2 linked regions of the Struthio camelus genome follow. The protein of the gene in region 2 purifies or fractionates together with the protein of the main gene of each other region. This does not show direct contact. Links are inferred from orthologs where the notes say so. Each region holds a gene or a part of one and is shown on either strand. Other genes may lie near its edges. The genes, in order: WDR20 and VSX1.

Region 1 (9,889 bases), on a different chromosome or scaffold from region 2:
CTCCCTTTCCCAAACCCTTTCTTTGTACTGACTGTTCCTGCTATATCCAAACCCAAAGTGAGATGGCTAGGCCCACTGTACTGAGAGAAAACCCACCCTGAAAAATGTCAGTATTTACCAGCTGGTTTAGCAAGCTGGACTGGCTCAACCAGAGGGTGAGTAGTGCCAAAGCCAGCAAGAGGGAGATAAGAGCGCGCTGCCAGAAGGATGCTACACTGCAAGACCATCATTTTCAGCTGTCCCTAAATCAGTTAAGTTCATGGAAATTCACCACTTTCATTTAACAAGACATCATTGTACACATCTAGCCTCAAAGTCAAAGCTGAGGAGGACTGAAAGTGAAAGCCAAATAATACTCAGTGCAGTCAGGAATAATTATATATTTTGCATAAGTAAAGCGACCACATCTCATTCCATTACAGTTTAATTTCTCTTTACTTAACTATAGGCTCACTTCCCTTTTCAGTGGATCCAAAACAGAAAGTAGCAGTTTTCTGGAAACCTTCATTGCCTTATTAATAAATAAATAAAAAAAAAAAAAAACTGTGCAAATTTCAATATGAAAAAAACACTGGCTCATAACAGATGTGCTTTCATTGAGGAAGGTAACATAAAACCATGAAATAGTAGAAACTCAGCTTCCTTTTTAAAGATGCAAAGAAGAAATTTGTGTTTTCTCCATAAAGCCTCTAAGGACAGCTCAAAGTGCTGTCCAACCCTCTTCCCTGAACTATCATCATCATATATCAGCATTACAAGTTCTGCACGACTGCTCTGGGAGCTAGACATAACTTTTAATCCAAGTTTCTTGAAAGAAGGATCAAGGTTAAAGAAAGATCCCTGGAAATGGTGATCCTCACATAAGTTTCGTTTCCTAAATAAAACACACACAGCAGTAGTCTAGGTAAAAAGACAATTTACAAAGTAGATATAGCAGATAAAGCATATCTAGTATCCAATGGAAACTAAAAGAATAAAGTTTGGTATCAGTGATTTTAAGGAATAGCCTTTCAAGTAGTATCTTTGACTCAGTATTCAGACCATTTATTCTTAAGCATCATCCATGGCTTAAGCCTGAATCTTACTTGATGTGTACTGACCTGCACTGGATTACCAACGCAAGAATTATCTAGGTACCTAACATACACGGCTCCTTAAAATACAGCCCTCATGACTCTTTCACTCATTTCAGTAAAAGTGTAGAATTTTGTCAGCAAGAAGCGGACCTTAAAAAAAAAAAAAAAAAGAAAGAAAAAAAGCAAGCTACCAGATATATACAATACAGCTTCACTAACATCATCTTGTTCTTTGTGTCATGCAGAGATTCACAGATCAGTCAGTTTTAAATGCCCATCCCCTCCCCAAACAGAAAGGCTTGCAAAGAGTTTGATAGTTTGTCCAGTTTAAGAGAGTGTTATTCACTATCAATTTAGGCAACAGTAGCTCTCTTCTGTTAGGATAGCTACAAAATACGTAACTTCTGATTTTGAAAAGCTCAAATGATCATATCAAAACCTTGTTCTCATGTCAATTTTCTACATAGACAAAACAATGACTTCCAACTGAATAATTTCAAAATAAGTTCCTAAGGAACAAGTATTACAAGTTTAAGATAGACCATCTTTCCCATTCTCAGTTAAATTATTTACATTAAGCATGTTTTAATCTATTTCAGCTGTTTCTCTAGGTTCATTGTACTAAAGTGAATGTTATATATATATAGGATATACACTATTTTTTAAAATGGTAATACTGTAAAAGCTTATTGAAACAAAATCTGTTCTGGATGAGTATGTTTTACACTAATCAGAGAGAAAAAAATAAAGTATTTAATGTTGTAACAGGTATGCCTCAAAGCTCACAAGTTAACAGTTTGACAAACCAAAATTTTCAGTTACTGTGTACCGCAACACACAAAAACAGCTTTTAGTATCTAGAGAAAAGTATTAGAAAAATACTTTGAGCTTAGCCTTTTAATTTGAAAAAGTTATTCCCTATTTTCAATGTACTTCCAGGATTTAGATTTTTATTCTTTGCAGTGCAGTAAAAGATGACTAAGACAACTGGTAAGAAACACATGTAAAATTACTACACTACATGAAGACCTGCTCTGCAATATAGATTAGAGAAGTCTGCAGCTACTTGTATGGAAAAATGAATCCAAACATGGCAATAATTTAAGAGACGGATTTTTAGAGATAAGTGCCACCCACAATATCTTGCAAGCATTAAAGATAGCAACTGCATGTTTGATACAAAACACTCATCAGGTACTTAAAGAAATCTTTGTTTAAATATTATTTACAACATAAGTAGATTGTTAAAATCCATTAAAGCGTGAAACCAAAATCTGTAGGCATTTTTTTCATACAATTACATAGGACAGATCTGTCAAGTCATAGTCAACAGATACCCAGGCAGCTTTTATCTCCAGTTAGCGCTTACATTTTATATAGGTGGAGGAGTGATGTGGGCACTAGCTTAAGTCTTTGTAGATTCAGGTATAATTCTTTGCTCGCCTACAAGCTTCCTGCGTGACCTTGGGTACGTCACTAGTTCTCTGTGCCTTCATTCCCTGTTGCTTGGTGGGCTACAAGCAGGAAGACTCCAAGGTACTCACATTATGGCTGCTGAGTCTCAAATACGTAAGGTAACGAACATCCACTTTTCAAAGCAGAAAACAGAAAACTGACAATCACGACATCTATGTTTACATATATTGAGTGACGTGCATTCACACAGCATGACAAACTCTGAACGCCCCACTAAATCCCATGAGGCCAAGGACCCTAATAAACAACAGGCAGAACAAGTTTGTTTATAAATACAGTGAACTGAGACATCAAAAACACACGCTGTTAGCCGTGCATCAAATATTAACATTTAAGGAGGATCTCTTAGGTTGAATCAACATTTCTTTCCTATAATAACAGCTTTCTCTGTGTTAACTATTTGACATGTAGCTCATTGCACTGCCCCCATTTAGAGACAATCCTAGAAACAGTCCACACTTCAAAGCCACAATAAAGGCCTAAAATTAAAGTGAAAGCTGTAACTACTTGGTTAAGGCTAGGAAGATATGCTCTCCCACCATCCTGGAAGCAGGGATCTGACATCACCATAACCATGCCAAGCATTAGTGTCCAGCAACCTCACACCTGAAGCAGCAGGTGAAAGAGGCCCCGAGTTGCCTCACTATTGGAAAGCCAGCCCTCACCCCTGTACGCCAAGGAGGGGCCAAGCAATCACATCCCTTAGAAGGGCCCCCCACACACCTACCGCTGGTGACAACCGTATTTTGACGTAGCCCTTCAGCACTAAGCCAGCGCCAGTCCACCTCGCACAGCCCTCCAGGCCAGGCCTACGCTCCCCCTCCTCGAACCGCTACCCTACGAACCAGCTGATCGGGAGAGCAGCTAAAGCGGCAGCTACAGCCGAGCCCCAACCGAGGAGCTGCCAGCCCCAAGGCGAGGCCCCGGGGGGCCCGAAGGAGAAGCGGCCCCGCGGGGCGGCCCCAGCCCCCCGCCGCCCCCCGCTGGCACCCGGCGAGCCCTCGGCGGGGGGGGCGGCCCGCCGCGGAGCTCCCCCCCAGCCCCTCTCCTCGCCCGGCGGCCGAGCCCCGGTACCTTGCGGACCCCCTTGTAGATGTAGAAGTACAGCTCCCGGCCCACATTGAAGCAGAGCCGGTCACCGTTGCCGCTCTGGTCGTTGACGTTGACGAAGGAAACGCGGACCGGGTTGGAGCCCTGCGAGTTGAAGGGCACCCGGTTAGGCCGGCTGTACTCCGAGTGGCTCAGCAGCTTGTACAGCCCCTCCCGGGTGGTGAACTGGGTCTTAATCTCGTTCATCTCCTTCCCTCCTCCCTCCGCCGCCATCTTGGAAAGGAGCATTCATCCTGCCCCAGTGCCCGGATGTAGCTCCACTGCGCAACCGCAACCGTCGCCGCCGCCGCCGCCGCCGGGGCTCGCGCGGCCCTACGCGGAGGCGGCCACGCAAACGGCGTAAAGGGGCGGAGCGGCGCTGCCTGTTTACTGCCCGTCTGCGCATGCGCCAGGTGGCCGGCCCTTGGGTGGGCGCTGGCGGCGAGGGGCGGAGCCTCGGGCGTGGGGTGGGGGCGGGGCGCGTGCCGGGCGGGGCGGAGCGGAGGCTGCGGAGGGGGCGGCTCAAGATGGCGGGGGGCGGCGGGGTTGCGCCTGGCGGGTGCGGGGCGGGGGTTGTACCTGACAGAAATTCGTCGCCTCAGGGCCGGAGCGCCTGTCCCTGACAGCGCGCGAGGCGCGATGGTAACCACCCCCGCCGCCTGAGGCGCCGAAGCTGGATTTCGGTGTGCGCCGAGCAGTGGTTTTTTGCAGGGTTACGATAACGGCTGTGCGCGTTTGAGCCTTTTCCCCGGGTGGTCACAGAAATGGAAATGGGGTGCCAGCTCCTTGGCTTTCTGTACTGAGCTACTGTTTTGTTGTGGCCCAGGCCAGCTTTGCCCGCAGGTTGTCACTGGCGTGTCCTCGAGGTGCCAAACTGCTGGCTCAGGTGGGGTTTCTAAGGCTGGCTGGGAGAGTCCCGCGGGGTAGCAAGCCTGTTGAAGGGGTAACAAATACAACATGCCGTTCACGTTGCAAGTCAGGCCAGCACTGCTCCTAAAGGAAGCAGTACCAGCATCCCTCCAGCTCGGCACTGGTCTCTGCTTAAGCTGATGGCTGCATGCAGAGCCAGGCTGGGGAGTTGGCCCAGCTGAACATTAACCTGCAAAACTGGTTGTCCCGTAATGTACTTCATTGTTCTGATCGTCATCCAGCTGGCTGTGTTGCATGGTGAACCAGATCAATGCCCCTTTGCCCCTTACAGGCACAAGGGAGGAAGTTGCACGGGGTCGGAAGGGATTGTTTCACTGGGTAGGGAGGAAAGACTTTCTTTCGGCGGCAGCAGTTTCGGTTTAAAGAGGTTGTCGTAACTACAGCCTCGTGGCTTGAAATTATGGCTGACTTAAGCTAATCTAAGACTGATCTCCCACTATAAAAAGGGGTTTTGATCTCTGTCTTCAGCTGCATATTTTTACTACCTCTCTTGCATCAGTTCTAGCAATCGTGCAACCAAAGGTTGAGTCAGAGCAGCTTGAAAGCAGACCCCACAAAAAGAAATGGCAGGTTCTCAGACAAGGAAACTGCTGATCAGCAACTGAGCTCATCCAACTCATCCCAGAACTGGTAAAGCCAAAATAAGGGAGGAGTTAGGAATGTGCAACTGGGAGAAGCTAAGCAGCACAGAGTTAGATCACCTAAAAGTAAAAATAAAAAATGCACTTTAAAGGTATAGTTTCATATTGTAACTGAGTTGGTCTAATGTGGCTGCTACCAAAGGAGGTGTCCTGCTCTCTTCATTCCTGACTGTGATTATCTGCTGCTGCTACTTCCTTCACAAGCAGTGGTGCTCATCTGACCTCATGGGGAGCCATTTCAGAAAGATAAATGGGCAGAGAGTTAACCCCTCCTCTAAATGTGAAATGAATGGTATCAGATGAAAAACAGTAACTGTGTAGGGGAGGGGGCAGGAATGTGTGGCAGAGCAGGAGGGAAGCAGGACCTCTACCTCCCTTGCTATCCATTAGATCAGCTCAACTACAGAAGTCCACTCAGACCCCAGGGGGCAAAAGGGATTTAGTCTCAAATCAATTTAGTTAAAAATGATTTCGTTTGTGGCTAAATACCATCTTGCTGCTGAGCATCAAAATATTATTACAACGTAACTGAGACACATGAAAGAGCTGAAGACCTCCAGGCTAACTCATAGAGTAGATATCCGAGTGAACAACTGAACAGGTACAGATAACCTTTAAAAAGATCGGGTGTTGGAGCCTTGCTTGGAATTTGTGAGATAAATCCAATCAATAATGACCAATAGATCTTGTCAGCTTATCAGCCAGCCCTGCCAGATGGTACTGATGACCTCCTAAAAGCACATAAAGTAGGTGAGTAGAACTGTGGTTATTTTAGGAATCATCATCTTGAGAGTCATTCTTTCATGCAGAAATGTCATGTACAGACTTCCAAAGAGAAGAAGATCAGAATGTTTTCAGTCATCACAAGAAAAGCAGGAAATGCAAGGATCTCTAAATAATAATAATATTCAAAGCAGACAGGAATTTAACCAAGAATGTTAATTGTTGCTCCAAGCTGGCAGACTTGGCATGTCTTATTCATTACACAGTGATAACATTGGCAAGGTCACTATGAAAAACAAAGTAGGCAACTTTGGTAGAAGGATTGCGTGGAATGCAAATCTTACTGAAAGCACAGCAGGCCATCTGTCACTGATGGAATGAGTGTGATCCAAAGAATAAACAACGTTAACACGTACCTGGTTATCAGCAGTACATGATGGTGCAGAAAGTCAAAGACCTGATGTAGTGTTTAACATTTACCAAGAAACATCAATAAAAGCTGCTGAGAGATTCCACAGAGAATCCAAGACAAATATTCATTTCAAAAACACAGCTGCAAGTCACAAGAACACTATTGTACAGCCCCATCAACAGTCCTTATCAAATACTTGGTTAAGGAATGGGAAAAAAGAGATTACACAGTTAAGCCTCATGAAAAAGTTCTCTGTGCCACTGTAAATTCTTCTGTTTCAAGCTAACTAAAGATCATAGTTCTGAAATAGTCCCATGAGGATGCCCATAGATGTGTTATTTTGTAGGCACTACACAATCAATACATCAAAAGTCAGTCAGAATCACTACTGAATCCTTTCTTTACTTCTCCCAAATGTTTTGGCAAGTTGGAAAACAGACATGAGCAAAATTGAGTAGCATTCATAAAATAGTGTGATCCTCTGAGATCAATTTATGTAGAATATAATTTGGTCCTGCAATTTTTCAGGATGCAGCATTAATAAGGCTTTTGCTGGCAGCAGAAAATTGGAGCCTTAAGACTTATGCAATGTGAGTACAATTATCAACAAAACTTTTCTGTGCTTGAATTTGCGAGCCATCTGTTACTTCCCTAAAAGTGCAACAACTGATACCAGTGAACGCTTTTATCAACGCTTCTGAGCCAAAGAAAAGGACGATGACTACACCCATATTCTATCATGCAAAAAAATGTCTATTCTAATATGCACTGCTTGCAGAGGCAGGCAATCAGGAGACCATCTCTGCAATGTCTATCTACTACAGCAGGTCTGTCAAGTCTTGCTTGGACTATTGATGCCAAAAAGAATTTAAATATTTAGTGGGTGACTGACTTCAGAGTATCAAAAGCTCTGCAACATGTCATTTTTTACGGAATCTATGAACGTGCATGAATTACTAGCAGGCACAAGTACACAGAGATCTGCAAGCAGTACATCTGAACGAGTCAAAAGACTGATGTTGGTGAGAAGGACATGCAAGATCCCTTAATGTAATACAGGGAGAAAAAAAAAATTATGATGTTGGAAATATATTTCCTATGACTTACCCGTATGGCTTACCCGCTTTAACAGACATCTAACCTGCTTTCAGCATGAGAAAATATTGTTTATGGTATATTTTTAAACAATATAAATTGTGAGTTCCTTATTTGTATTAAGAATCTTTTCTTAAGCACTGCACACATTTAACACTAAAAACATTGATAATACATTGTGATATATATTACAAAATGAAAGGGTATTTTCTAAGCAATTAAGTCTGTACTAAACTGGAATATCGTGTATATTGTTTTTTCTCTCATCACTCCCCAAGAGGAAAAGCATGTGAAACATTTTGTTTTCATAATTTTGGGTTGTTATTACTTAAAAAAACATATTTTTAAGTACAAACATTTAGATTAGAGAAGGCAAGGTGAAAGAAATATGCTTTGCAGTTGGGAATGGATGAGAGTGAACTCTCTTGTGAATTTGGATGAGTTCATTTTGCTGTTTGCAGTCAATCTCCGTGAACGTTGTCTCCTGCACAGACTAGGTTACCTCTGTAGTGAAGAGTACCATTCTTATCAATAACATCTCTTATCTTGAAGCTTTATATATCCTGGAGATTATGCTCTCTAAAGATAAGACTGAGATTATGAAGTTGATTTAAATCCAGTGGAAAGATTGGTTTTATAGGCCTACAAATAGTTTGTATTTCTAAGAGATGCTACAGCATTCTGTACTTCTCAAAGCTCCCTAACTATGGAAGTCATCATATCCATGCATACGGTATCGCTATAATCCAGCTGAGGAATGACAAAGCTGTGAAGAAGTAAGGTTCTGATTGTTGGCCAGCAGCACTGATCAAGGTTTCGTATGAAACTCAAATTCCTAGATGGCGATGATTGTCAGTGATGCACTGTGAGAGTTTAGCTCCATCAAGAAGGCCAAGAACACTCAGTACGTAAATACTGCAAAATTATTTTCTCTGCTCATCAGAATCACCTCTTTCGTTCAGCTGATTTTTTATTGTGAAAGTCATCTTGGTGATAGTGTTGTGATAATACATGGTTATTGATAGGCATTGAGGCTCAAGCAGCCTGGAGCTGGCATGAGCAACAGTTAGTTAACGGTTAGCTAACCCTGCAAATTAACAAGAAAAGTAGCTGCCGTTGTGTGACTTAAGGCTCCCTAAGCAGAAGATAAGGAAAACTGAAAAAAATGAAAAAAGTGTCCTTGGAAAGATAACGAGTGGACTTTAACAGCCAAGGGAGGAAAAGCCGCCTTTATGGGAAATGATATATAATAAATAATAAATAATAAATAAAGAACTAACAAAGTTGTAAAAGGTGACCAGAGTCAAATGCCTCCGAACATTTTGAACATAAAAGAGATATGTCTACATGGACCTCTTAAGCTTATCCTCAGAGCCTCAGGCTCCCATGGCATCTGGCTAACTGATGGTGAGATCTTTTTAAGGGCAACTATAGATCATATGCTTAGTTTTGCGTAGTTTTATATGATGTATTAAGTAAAGTTTGCTTGTTAGAGGATGAGCTGTGTCCTGGCCACTCAGCTGCCTAGTGCCTAGATTTAGCTCTTTGGCAGCAGCAGAACTGTTGTTCCTCTGTATATTGTGTGCTGGCACTCTAGTTTGTTGTGTGAAAAAAGACTGGGGAGAGAATTGATTCTTCTAGAAATCCACAAGCAAAGAACATTCGGATAGAGTCGTTTTTTTCTGTTGCTTTGATGTATGTCTCAAAAAAGGACTGGAAACCTGTTATCACATTCCACATTTCCTTATTGCCTTTCTCACCTGAAACAATACTGTCTCAGAATAAACATGTTGTTGCAGAGAGCTTCAGAAGAACGGCTATCTGCTTGCTGTCCAGTCACAGGAGAGGATTCTCCATCAGTGTCACAAGTGTAATTTCAGTTCCATGGCCTGAATGACTGACTCCAAATTGCTTTAGATGAAGCACTGACGTTTTATATAGATTATGTTCAAATCAGCCTTTTCATGAGCTTTTCTATGAGCAGCCTGAAGCACTGGAGCTTTGGTAGCAAAAGCTGCTCATTCAGTGCGAGTTGAATTATTGCAAGTTTAAAGGAAGGAGAGCTCCCTTCTCTGAATTATGCACTGGCTTCATTATTGTCATGGTCAGGTTGCTCATGTCTCTTTTTGCAAGACAAGAAGGGCATAAGTTAAATTACCAAATCTTAGACATCCCTCTGGCATCCAGGACATCTTCCTATCTGGGAGCTGGAAAATTGGTGAATGGATATAAGCTATGTACGGTTCAAGAAAATTTCCCAATGCAATCTTTTAATCAAAGGGGGAGTATTTTTTATGCTACAGATTTTGTAACCTTAAAGGCAAAGAGAAGAGGGACCGGCTGAGGAGAAGGGGGATTTATTGCTATGACACGTGTATTTTTATGTCATTACCATATGTAGCTTACAATTTCACCACACAACAATTTTAATGCATCATAAAAAACTG
Region 2 (9,379 bases):
GGTTGTGTCCAGGATCTCCTGGATCAGGATCCTGGGATCATGGACGGGATCTGCTGGCTGGGGATCCTGGGATTGTGGCTGGGATCTGCTGGCTGGGGATCCTGGGATTGTGGCTGGGATCTGCTGGGCAAGGATCCTGAGACTGTGGCCAGGATCTCTTGGATCAGGATCCCCAGATCGTGGCCCGGATCTGCTGGGTGGGGACCATGTGATTGTGGCCAGGATCTCCTCGATCATGATCCTGGGATTGTGGCTGGGATCTCTTCGGTGGGAATGCCAGGATTGTGGCCAGGATCTGCTGGATGGGGATCCCGGGATCCTGACCGGGATCTGCTGGGAAAGGGTCCCGGTATTGTGGCCGGAATCTCCTGGATCAGGATCCCGGGATCCTGGCCGGGATCTGCTGCGTGGGGATCCTGGGATTGTGGCCGGGATCTGCTGGGTGGGGATCCTGGGATCGTGGCTGGAATCTACTGGACAGGGATCCCAGGATCCTGGATAGGATCTGTTGGGTCAGGATCCTGGGATCTGCTGGACGGGGACCCTGGGATCTTGGCTGGGATCTATTGGGCTGGGACCCGAGGATCCTGGCCAGGATCTGCTGGGTGGGGATCCCAGGATCCTGGCCAGGATCTGCTGGATCAGGATCCCCAGATCCTGGCCGGGATCTGCTGGGCGGGGGTGGACAAGGCGGGGGTGAGAGCCCGGACAGCCCGCGCCTGGGCCGGGCCGGCCCGGCGCGAGGGAGCGCTTGCAGGGCCTTAAGGGGCGGTGGCGGCGGGCGGCCGGTCTGCGGGCCCGGGCAGCAGCCCCGCAGGGGCCGCCCAGCCGAAGCGCGCGTTACCGGCGAGCGGGGCCAGCCGGCAGCGCCGCCCCGGGCCCGTGCCTGGCAGCCAGCGGCCGCCCGCTCCTGGCGAAGCCGAGAAACAAGCCAACGTGGTCCCGTTTTAGCCCCGCTCCGCGTCCCTTGGTCCGCGGCCGGCTGGGCAGCTGGCGCGAGTCCCTGCCTGGGGCAGAGGCGGTTCGGGGGCGGCGCGCGCTGCAGTGACCTCGGGGCAGCAGGCTGGCAGCCTGCCCCGCGAGTCCCCTCCTGCAGCCGGGGGTGAGAGCGGGAAGGCCGCCAGGCTGGGCTGCCCCGGGCCGGGGAAGGCGCCCCGGCGTTTGCCGTTGCTGCGCTCTGCCCCCGGAGCGACGCGGTGAGCCAGGCCAGCCGCGCGCGGGCAGGGCAAAAAGGGGAAAAAAAAAAGCTGCCAGACACCAGTGCCAGCACGGCACAACCCACATAACGGGTTTGCAAATGCTGCTCAGGCAGGATTAGGCCTCCAACGTGCTAAATCTCGGCTCTTGCAGCGCGTAATTGCTGCTGCAATAAGCCCTGGCTCATCCTTTCCTGAACCGTGCTGCCCGCGCAGCCCCGCCGTACGGTTTTCTGCCGCGCCGGCTGCGTTTGCCGTGCGCCCGTTTCCCTGAGAGGTGGCGGGGCGGCGGAGGGGGGGGATGCACGCACAGCATGAAAACCGAAGCTACACCACAGCTTTATTTATGGGGGCGTAATAAATAAGCGATGGACAAAACAGGCAGAGCCACGTTCAGAAGAAAAAAAACCAGAACCAGACAGACAGAGGCTAAAGTGCTTTCGGACAGAAGTCAGACCGCCGAGGAACGGCGGGGGCGTTGCGCTCTCACAGACGTTCCCGGAACGGTCTCCTGCGTCGACCCACACATCGTGCGCTTGTTCCGGGGTACTACGGCTTGGTTTTCGGAAAGGCCGCTCTGTTGGCGTGCCCGGTACGGCAGGCGACGTTCAAGCGCGTGCGAAGGTGGTTGCGTAAATAAGAGCGCCTCCGTCCCTCGGCCCGACCGCGACGCAGCGTAAACGCGGTGGCGAGGCTGCGGCGGCACGTCAGCTGGCGGCGGCCGGAGGACGTGCCGGAGCCCTCGGGGCGGGAGAGGCGCGCGGGCGCTGCCGGCGATGGACGGGCCCCCGCGCGCAGCCCCGGGCGAAGGGAAGCTCTGCCCAAGAGGCCGTCCGTGCTGCCCACAGCACGGTCCTGGTTTCCCACCGCTTTTGGCCAGCTTCGGACGCCTCTCTGCTCTGCTGAGAGGCGAGCAGCTGAGAAGCGGGGGGGCGGAGGGGAGGGTTCAGTTTTACAATGCCCTGAATTCAGATAGAAGTTCAATTATCTGAGGAGGAAAAAAATATATACATATAGCAATAAATATTCTTAGGATCGCAGGGGGCTGGCCGGGCAGCCCGAGCTCAGCGGTCCCTGTCCTCCTGCTCCGCGGCGGGGTCCCCGCTGACGCACCGGCCCAGCGCGCTTCTCTTCCCGCGCCCGGCCGTCCTGGAGAGGTCGATGGCCGCGTCCCCCGAATCGATCACGGGGCCCAGCTGGTCAGAGCCCCTCTGCGCGCTGGCCGGCTCCCCTCCGCGGTCCTCCTCGGTCCGCTCCTCTCGCCAGCCGTCCGCCGGCTTCTCCCGGCTCTCCGCCTTCCTGCTCGCCTCCACGGACTTTCTGTGCATGCCTTGCCGAGGGGAAAGAGCAGAGCAGAGGGCGCGCGTTGCCCGCCCGCGGCCCCAGCCGGAGGGGAACCTCGCGCTGGCTCTGGCTCGCGCCCCTGCTGCCTGCTCTCCGCCAGAGGAGGCCGCTCCGCAGCGGGACCCGTGGGCACCTGCCGCTCGCGGGCGGCGGGAAAGGCTCGCCGGGAGAGGGCTGCTGCGAAGGGCCCGGGCTTCCCGGGCCGCCCCGTTGGAGCGGGTCAGGTAGCCCCCGACACGGCGCGAGCGCGGGGCCGTGCCCGGCCGCGGGGAAGCGGTCCCCCTTCCCCAGCTCCTCTTCAGAGGGAGGGAGCGAAAGGGCCAAGCTACGCCGCAGCCTGCTCAAAGCTCGTGGCTGAGGCCCTGCTCCGTCCTGGGAGAGGGCGGGCGCGCGTGGCCAGGCACGAGAGGTGACCGCTAGCTCGCTGGGCGCCGTGGCCGGCCCCGTCCCCCCGCCGCACCGTGCTCCAGCTCACCCAGCAGCCACGGGGCGCAGGATCCCACCAGCCCGCTCTTGGCGGAGTTGATGATCGACTCGGGCAGAGGGATGGAGTGTCTCACCATGGCCCCGTAGAGGCCGTACTCGGCCATCACGCTGCTCCGGCCCCAGCGCTTCTCCCTCTTCCGCCACTTGGCTCTTCGGTTCTGAAACCAAACCTTCAGGGGTAACAGCCAGGAGAGCGCGGAGGGGTGGGAGAGGGGAGGAGACGGCACCCGCGGCCAGCCGGCGGGGCCCGTTGCGCGCGGGGCAGCGCGCGGCCAGGGCCGAGGGACCGCCGAGAGGTGGTGTCGGGGGGGATGCGGGGAGGGCACGCACGTGGGTGTGAGCCAGAGGGGAGAGGAGGAGGGGGGGGGAGAGGGAGCACACGTTACACCAGGCGTCCCCAGCCAACGTCGCCAAGAGGAGCCCGTGGGCTCCGCCTGCCCGCCGGGCGGCCGCACGAAGCCACCTTCGTCTCCAGGAGAAGGGGTCCGCGGGGCAGGTGCTGGCGGAGGGTGCCGGTGCTCCTCTCCCCCCCAGCCCCCCCGCTGCCTTCCTGCGGGGCAGGTGCAACCCAACCGCTGCCCCATCCTCAGCCAAGCCAGCGAGCCGCCCCGTGTCCCTCAGAGGAGGCGTGAGCCACCCAAGGTGAGACGGCTTGGCCCAGCGGCGCCGCGGCCGGGCCGCCTGCCCCCACCGGGGGTACGGGGGCCGGAGGAGCGCCGTGCCCCTGGTTGGGGGTCTCCTAGCGCAGCCCGGGAGCGTGTCGGGGGGGGGGGAAGGTGGGCATCCAGCTCGAGGTCCCGCGCGGCCACCTACCTGTATCCTGTCCTCCGGCAGCTCCGTCCTCGCGGCCAGCATCTCCCTGGCGTAGACGTCCGGGTAGTGAGCTTCGGTGAACGCCTTCTCCAGCTCCTCCAGCTGGTGAGCCGTGAACACCGTCCTGCGGGGAGGAGAGCGGGTCCTGCGGGGCGGGCCGGACCCCCGGCCGCGGGCCCGGGCCGGGCCCTGCCTCGGGGCTCGTACCTGTGCCGCCGCTTCTTCCTCTTGGCCGGCGAGCTCGACGCCGCCGCCGCCGCCGCCTCGCCGGACGGGCTGTCCTCGCCTGGCAGCGCGCGGAGGGGGCGAGAGGGACACTGCGGCGGGCAGCGCTCGGCACCCCGCCGGCCCCCGCCGCCCCCCGCACCCCGCTTACCGGAGACGCGCTCCCGCCGCCGGCGGGCGGCCCCGACGGGCGACCCCGGCCCCGGCAGCAGGCACGGCCGCCCCGGGGCCGCCCAGCCGCACAGCAGCCCCAGCCCCGCGCCCCCCCCGAAGCCCGCGGCGGCCGGCGGCCCGGCGGGGTGGTGGTGGTGGTGGAGGGGGGGGGACGGCGGCGGCCCGGGGGGGGGCGGCAGCTCGGCCTCCAGCCCCAGCAGGTCGGTGATGGCGAAGCCCTTGGCCCCGCGCCGCCCCGCGCCGCCCGCCCGCTCGGGCAGGGCGCTGCGTCCCGCTGCCGCTGCCGCTGCCGGTGCCGGTGCCGGTGCCGGTGCCGGTGCCGGTGCCGCCGCGCGGCCCCCCGACGGCTCCGCCCGGCCCGGCATCGCCGCCCCCGCCTGGCCCGGCCCCGCCGCCCGCCGCCCCTTTTATCCGCCCGCCACCGGCCCCGGCTCCAATCACGCCCCGGGGCCGCCGCCGCCGCCGCCGCGCTCCCAATCCCCGGATTAGCGGCCACCAGCCCCCCGCCCCCGGACCCCCCCCCCTCGGGCCCCGGCCCCCCCCCCCGGGCCCCGGCCACCCCCCCCTCGGGCCCCGGCCACCCCCCCCCCTCGGGGCCCGGCCCCCCCCCCCTCGGGCCCCCCGGTCCCCCCCCCTCGGGTCCCGGTCCCCCCCCTCGGGCCCCCCGGCCACCCCCCTCTCGGGCCCCGGCCACCCCCCCCTCGGGCCCCCCGGCCACCCCCCTCTCGGGTCCCGGCCACCCCCCCCCCCGGGTCCCGGTCCCCCACCTCGGGCCCCCGGTCCCCCCCCCCTCGGGCCCCGTTTCCCCCCCTCGGCCCCCGGTCACCCCCCATCGGGCCCCGTTCCCCCCCTCCGCCCCCGGCCACCCCCCCCTCGGGCCCCCGGTCACCCCCCCCTCGGGTCCCGGTCCCCCCCTCGGTCCCGGTCCCCCCCCTCGGGCCCCGGTCCCCCCCCTCGGGTCCCGGTCCCCCCCTCGGTCCCGGTCCCCCCCCTCGGGCCCCGGTCCCCCCCCTCGGGTCCCGGTCCCCCCCTCGGTCCCGGTCCCCCCCCTCGGGCCCCGGTCCCCCCCCTCGGTCCCGGTCCCCCCCCTCGGGCCCCGGTCCCCCCCCTCGGGTCCCGGTCCCCCCCTCGGTCCCGGTCCCCCCCCTCGGGCCCCGGTCCCCCCCCTCGGGTCCCGGTCCCCCCCTCGGTCCCGGTCCCCCCCCTCGGGCCCCGGTCCCCCCCCTCGGTCCCGGTCCCCCCCCTCGGGCCCCGGTCCCCCCCCTCGGGTCCCGGTCCCCCCCTCGGTCCCGGTCCCCCCCCTCGGGTCCCTGCTCCCCCCCCGCTGCCCCCCCGCTCCGCGGCCCCTGCCCGCCCCCCCCGCCTCCCCCCTCATGCCCCCCCCCGGGCCCCCTCCGGTGGCCCTCGGTGCCCTCCCCAGGCGCCCGGGTGGCCCCCCCGCCCCGTTAGCCCCCCCACCTAGACGGCTGCGCCCCCCCCCCCGGCCCCCTGGGGACGGGACCCCCGGCCTGGCCTCCTTGCGGCTCCCAGATTCTTGCACCTGGGCTGCAGTTTGGGCCCCCCCCCCCGGGTCTGTTTAGGGAAAGGGTTTGCAGCAGGCTTGGGCGGGCGGCGGATGCCGGCCTCCCCGCTACGCGCTCAGATTAGACGAGGGTCCTTCTGATAAAGATAATTACAAGGGGACTCCGCATTAACTTTGCATTATTAAAGGAAGACCCAAATCTCCCCTCGCAAGCTGTTCCCGGGATTAGCAGAACAATAACTTTCATTTAGGATAATTGCCGTGGCCGGTGCTGGGGGCTTGGGGTGGGGGGGGGGTCGCTTGGGGCGATGGCGCGCTGCACCGAGAAAGGCAAACGGGACGGCGGCGGGAAGGGGGCGTCGCACCCCCCCCCCCAAAGCCCCCGGGCAACGGGGAGGGGGGACCGCGCACCCAGGAGGGGGGATGCTCGGGGGGCGCGCTGCCCCCGGGGCCCCCCGGCCTGGGGCAGGGGGACGGGGCCCCCCGGGGCCCCCCGGGCACCTTCACTTTCCCCAAGCGCTTTGGCTGCGCTGGCGCTGCTGGAAGCGGCGACTTTCACCGCCGGCCGGGGAGGATCTGCCGCAGTAATTAGAAGCCCTAATCCGGCCACCGCCCACAACAAATTTCCTGCCCAAGCAGATATTAGTGGATAAAACCCTAATTTTTGACGTTGTCCCAGAATCAGCTTGATTTCAGCAGTTTACGTTGAGGCTGAGCTGTTGGGAGAGATGATGAAGCCTTAAATATGCATATGGCCTAGTCGTTTGGAAAGTTGGGGGATAAAGCATACATAATTGCTCCTAATCAGTTTATGAAACATAAAAGCTCAAACCCGAGAGAAAGCCGATAGATGCAGGAATGGAAATAGCAGTTAAATCTGCGCCGCGCCGGCAAGCTGGTCAGGATGTGGCGGTGTGGCCGGGGCTGGGGGACGCCGTGCGGGACCGGGGATGCTCCGGTCCCCGGGACCGGGACCAGGACCAGGATCAGGACCGGGACCTGGACTGGGACCGGGACCGGGACCAGGACCTGGACTGGGACTGGGACCGGGACCAGGACCTGGACTGGGACCAGGATCAGGACCAGGACCGGGACCAGGACCTGAACTGGGACCGGGACCTGGACTGGGACCGGGACCTGGACTGGGACTGGGGCTGGGACTGGGACTGGGACTGGGACCAGGACCTGGACTGGGACCAGGACCAGGACCAGGACCGGGACCAAGACCTGAACTGGGACTGGGACCGGGACCTGGACTGGGACCAGGATCAGGACCAGGACCAGGACCGGGACCAGGACCTGAACTGGTACCGGGTCCTGGGCTGGGACTGGGACTGGGACCAGGACCTGGACTGGGACCAGGACCAGGACCAGGACCGGGACCAGGACCTGAACTGGGACCAGGACCTGGACTGGGACTGGGACTGGGACTGGGACTGGGACTGGGACTAGGACTGGGACCGGGACTGGGACTGGGACCGGGACCGGGACCGGGACCAGGACCTGGACCTGGACTGGGACTGGGACTGGGACTGGGACTGGGACTGGGACCGGGACTGGGACTGGGACCAGGACCTGGACTGGGACCAGGACTGGGACTGGGACCAGGACTGGGATCAGGACCAGGACCGGGACCAGGACCAGGACCCGGACCGGGACCAGGACTGGGGCCGGACCGGGGGAGGATACGCGTGCTGCCGCCCGCCACCTTCCCCAGCCGTGATGGAGACGGGCATCTCCGCTGGTCTTTTGGACAATAAAGCAGTTAAAGGATATCTTGATATATGCTCATCAGATAGGATTATCTGGGATTAGACTAATCAGTAAATGTTTCTCTGCTCGTTATTTTCCGGGGAAGATTTTTTCCGCTGATTCCCCAACGCCGAAAGATTATTCATCGCTTAAAGAGCAGTGCATCGAACATGGGCCCCTGCTCCAGTTTCCCCAGGGTGCCTCCCGCTGCGGGCAGGGCGCCCGCCAGGGGGGACCCGGCGAGGGGGCGCCTCGGGTCCCCGAGGGGTGGGCCACCACCTCCTGCAGCGATACGGGGCGGGGGGGCGCGGGGGGAGCGAGAAGGTCCCGGGGGGCCTGGTTTAGGGGGTTAGCAGCGGGATGGGGCAGCTTTCACCCCCCCAGACCCTGCTTCAGATATGAATCAGGTCGATCACACGGGAAAGCTGGCACCAGTTTCTGGGTTTGATGTGGGGGGCGGGGGGGGGGAAGATGCTCCCAGCGCCCCAAATCGGAGGCTTCAGGGGGGTTCCCTCCCCGGGGGGAGGCTGGCACTGAGCTGGGGGTCGGGAATAGCCCCCCGCCGCGGTCCCCCCCCGCCGCCGCGCGCCCTCCGACCCAGGGCGATGGCTTTGCCGGCGGCCGGGGTGGAGGCACGAGGGACAGGGGGGTTCGCCCCCCGCCCCCCGGTTACGTGCGCTAAACCAGCCCCCCCGAGGAGACCCTCGTCCCGCCCCGGGCAGGCCCTGCAAACCAGCCGTCCGCTGCGGCGCCCTCGAATTTCCTTTTTTCCTCTTGATGGGAGAAGTGGGCACCGCCGCAGCTTCTCAGGTCCCTCTTGCACCTGGGGGACCAGAGCGGGGTCTTTTCTGGCCGTGGAAGACTCGGCCCAGGGACGGCGAGGCTGCTTGAGCAGGGCGGTCGGAGGAGGTGGTCTCCAGAGGTCCCCTCCAGCCCCAGCCCTTCCGGGAGTCCGCGAAACCAGCGGAAAGCTCTTGACCGACCTTGAGCTGTGAGCCCAACCCAGATTCTCCCTTTCCTGCCGGTCGGGAAGGTTTCAAGCCAGTTTCTTCATTTAGGCCGCTGGCTTTCATTTAGGCAAGGGCACGAAGGCGAAATGAGTCGGCCCGCGGCGAGGGCCGTCGACGCGTCTCGGCTGACTCGGGCGGCCCCGGCGCCTTCCACTCAGGTCACCGCCGGGCTGCCTTGTCCTCCTCTCCGTTTCTCTCCCGTCGGGCAGTCCCTACCTGCCAAACGTGCCCCAGGCAAAGCGCCGCTGTTATTTTCCGGAGCGAGGGAGGGACGCGAAACCTTTGGCGCGAGTGACTTCCCAGCTGCCCTCCCCGCTTCCAGCGTCTGCTTTTCACCTGCTTTCTGCAACGTGCCCCAGGAAGACCTCCGCCACGGTGCCAAAAACGAACGTGTCCCAGATGAACAGGTGGAGCGGCGCTGGCAGCAGAGAGTCCCCCGACCGCCTCCAACGGGGACCTGCGTTGCTGGTGTCACTGCCGCGCTCTGAGGAGGACAGAGGAGGAGGGAAAGGATTCAGAGGAAGAAATAAGAAACTTCTCCCTTGCAGGCCTATGGTCTGTGGTCTTCCTTTTTCCCATGAGTGGAGCTTTGCTGGATTTTGAGGATGGAAAAACGGCATTTCCTCCCTGCCTGGGAGCGGCAGCGAAGGCTCTTGGCTCCTTCTGCCCCGTACCTAGCCCGGGGGCGAGAAGTCCGGTTACGCGTTTTCTTCGGCCTCCCTCTCCTTCGCTGTCCCCGCAGGGGACAAACCCACTCATATCATCAGCGACAAGGCAGGGGTCTCCCGAGGACGTGCTGCGGAGCAGAAGAGCAGAAAGCCTCCGCCAAGGGTTACTTGGGCGAAGCCTCATTGCTT

Evidence for each region.
Region 1: the proteins of VSX1 (region 2) and WDR20 purify together in Homo sapiens (affinity purification with mass spectrometry; 3 studies listed by BioGRID and IntAct, with this or other methods). This does not show direct contact. The link is inferred for Struthio camelus from reciprocal best matches to the Homo sapiens genes VSX1 and WDR20.

What each region holds. Positions count from the first base shown.
Region 1 is NC_090946.1:71,325,363-71,335,251, reverse strand, and holds the start of WDR20 (WD repeat-containing protein 20), read right to left. Parts: upstream 3,992-9,889; 5' UTR 3,891-3,991; coding exon 3,627-3,890; intron 1-3,626. UniProt on the Homo sapiens protein: Regulator of deubiquitinating complexes. Activates deubiquitinating activity of complexes containing USP12. Anchors at the base of the ubiquitin-contacting loop of USP12 and remotely modulates the catalytic center of the enzyme.
Region 2 is NC_090944.1:147,798,894-147,808,272, forward strand, and holds VSX1 (visual system homeobox 1), read right to left. Parts: upstream 4,604-9,379; coding exon 4,216-4,603; intron 4,126-4,215; coding exon 4,047-4,125; intron 3,964-4,046; coding exon 3,840-3,963; intron 3,197-3,839; coding exon 3,016-3,196; intron 2,527-3,015; coding exon 2,261-2,526; 3' UTR 1,517-2,260; downstream 1-1,516. UniProt on the Homo sapiens protein: Binds to the 37-bp core of the locus control region (LCR) of the red/green visual pigment gene cluster. May regulate the activity of the LCR and the cone opsin genes at earlier stages of development. Dispensable in early retinal development.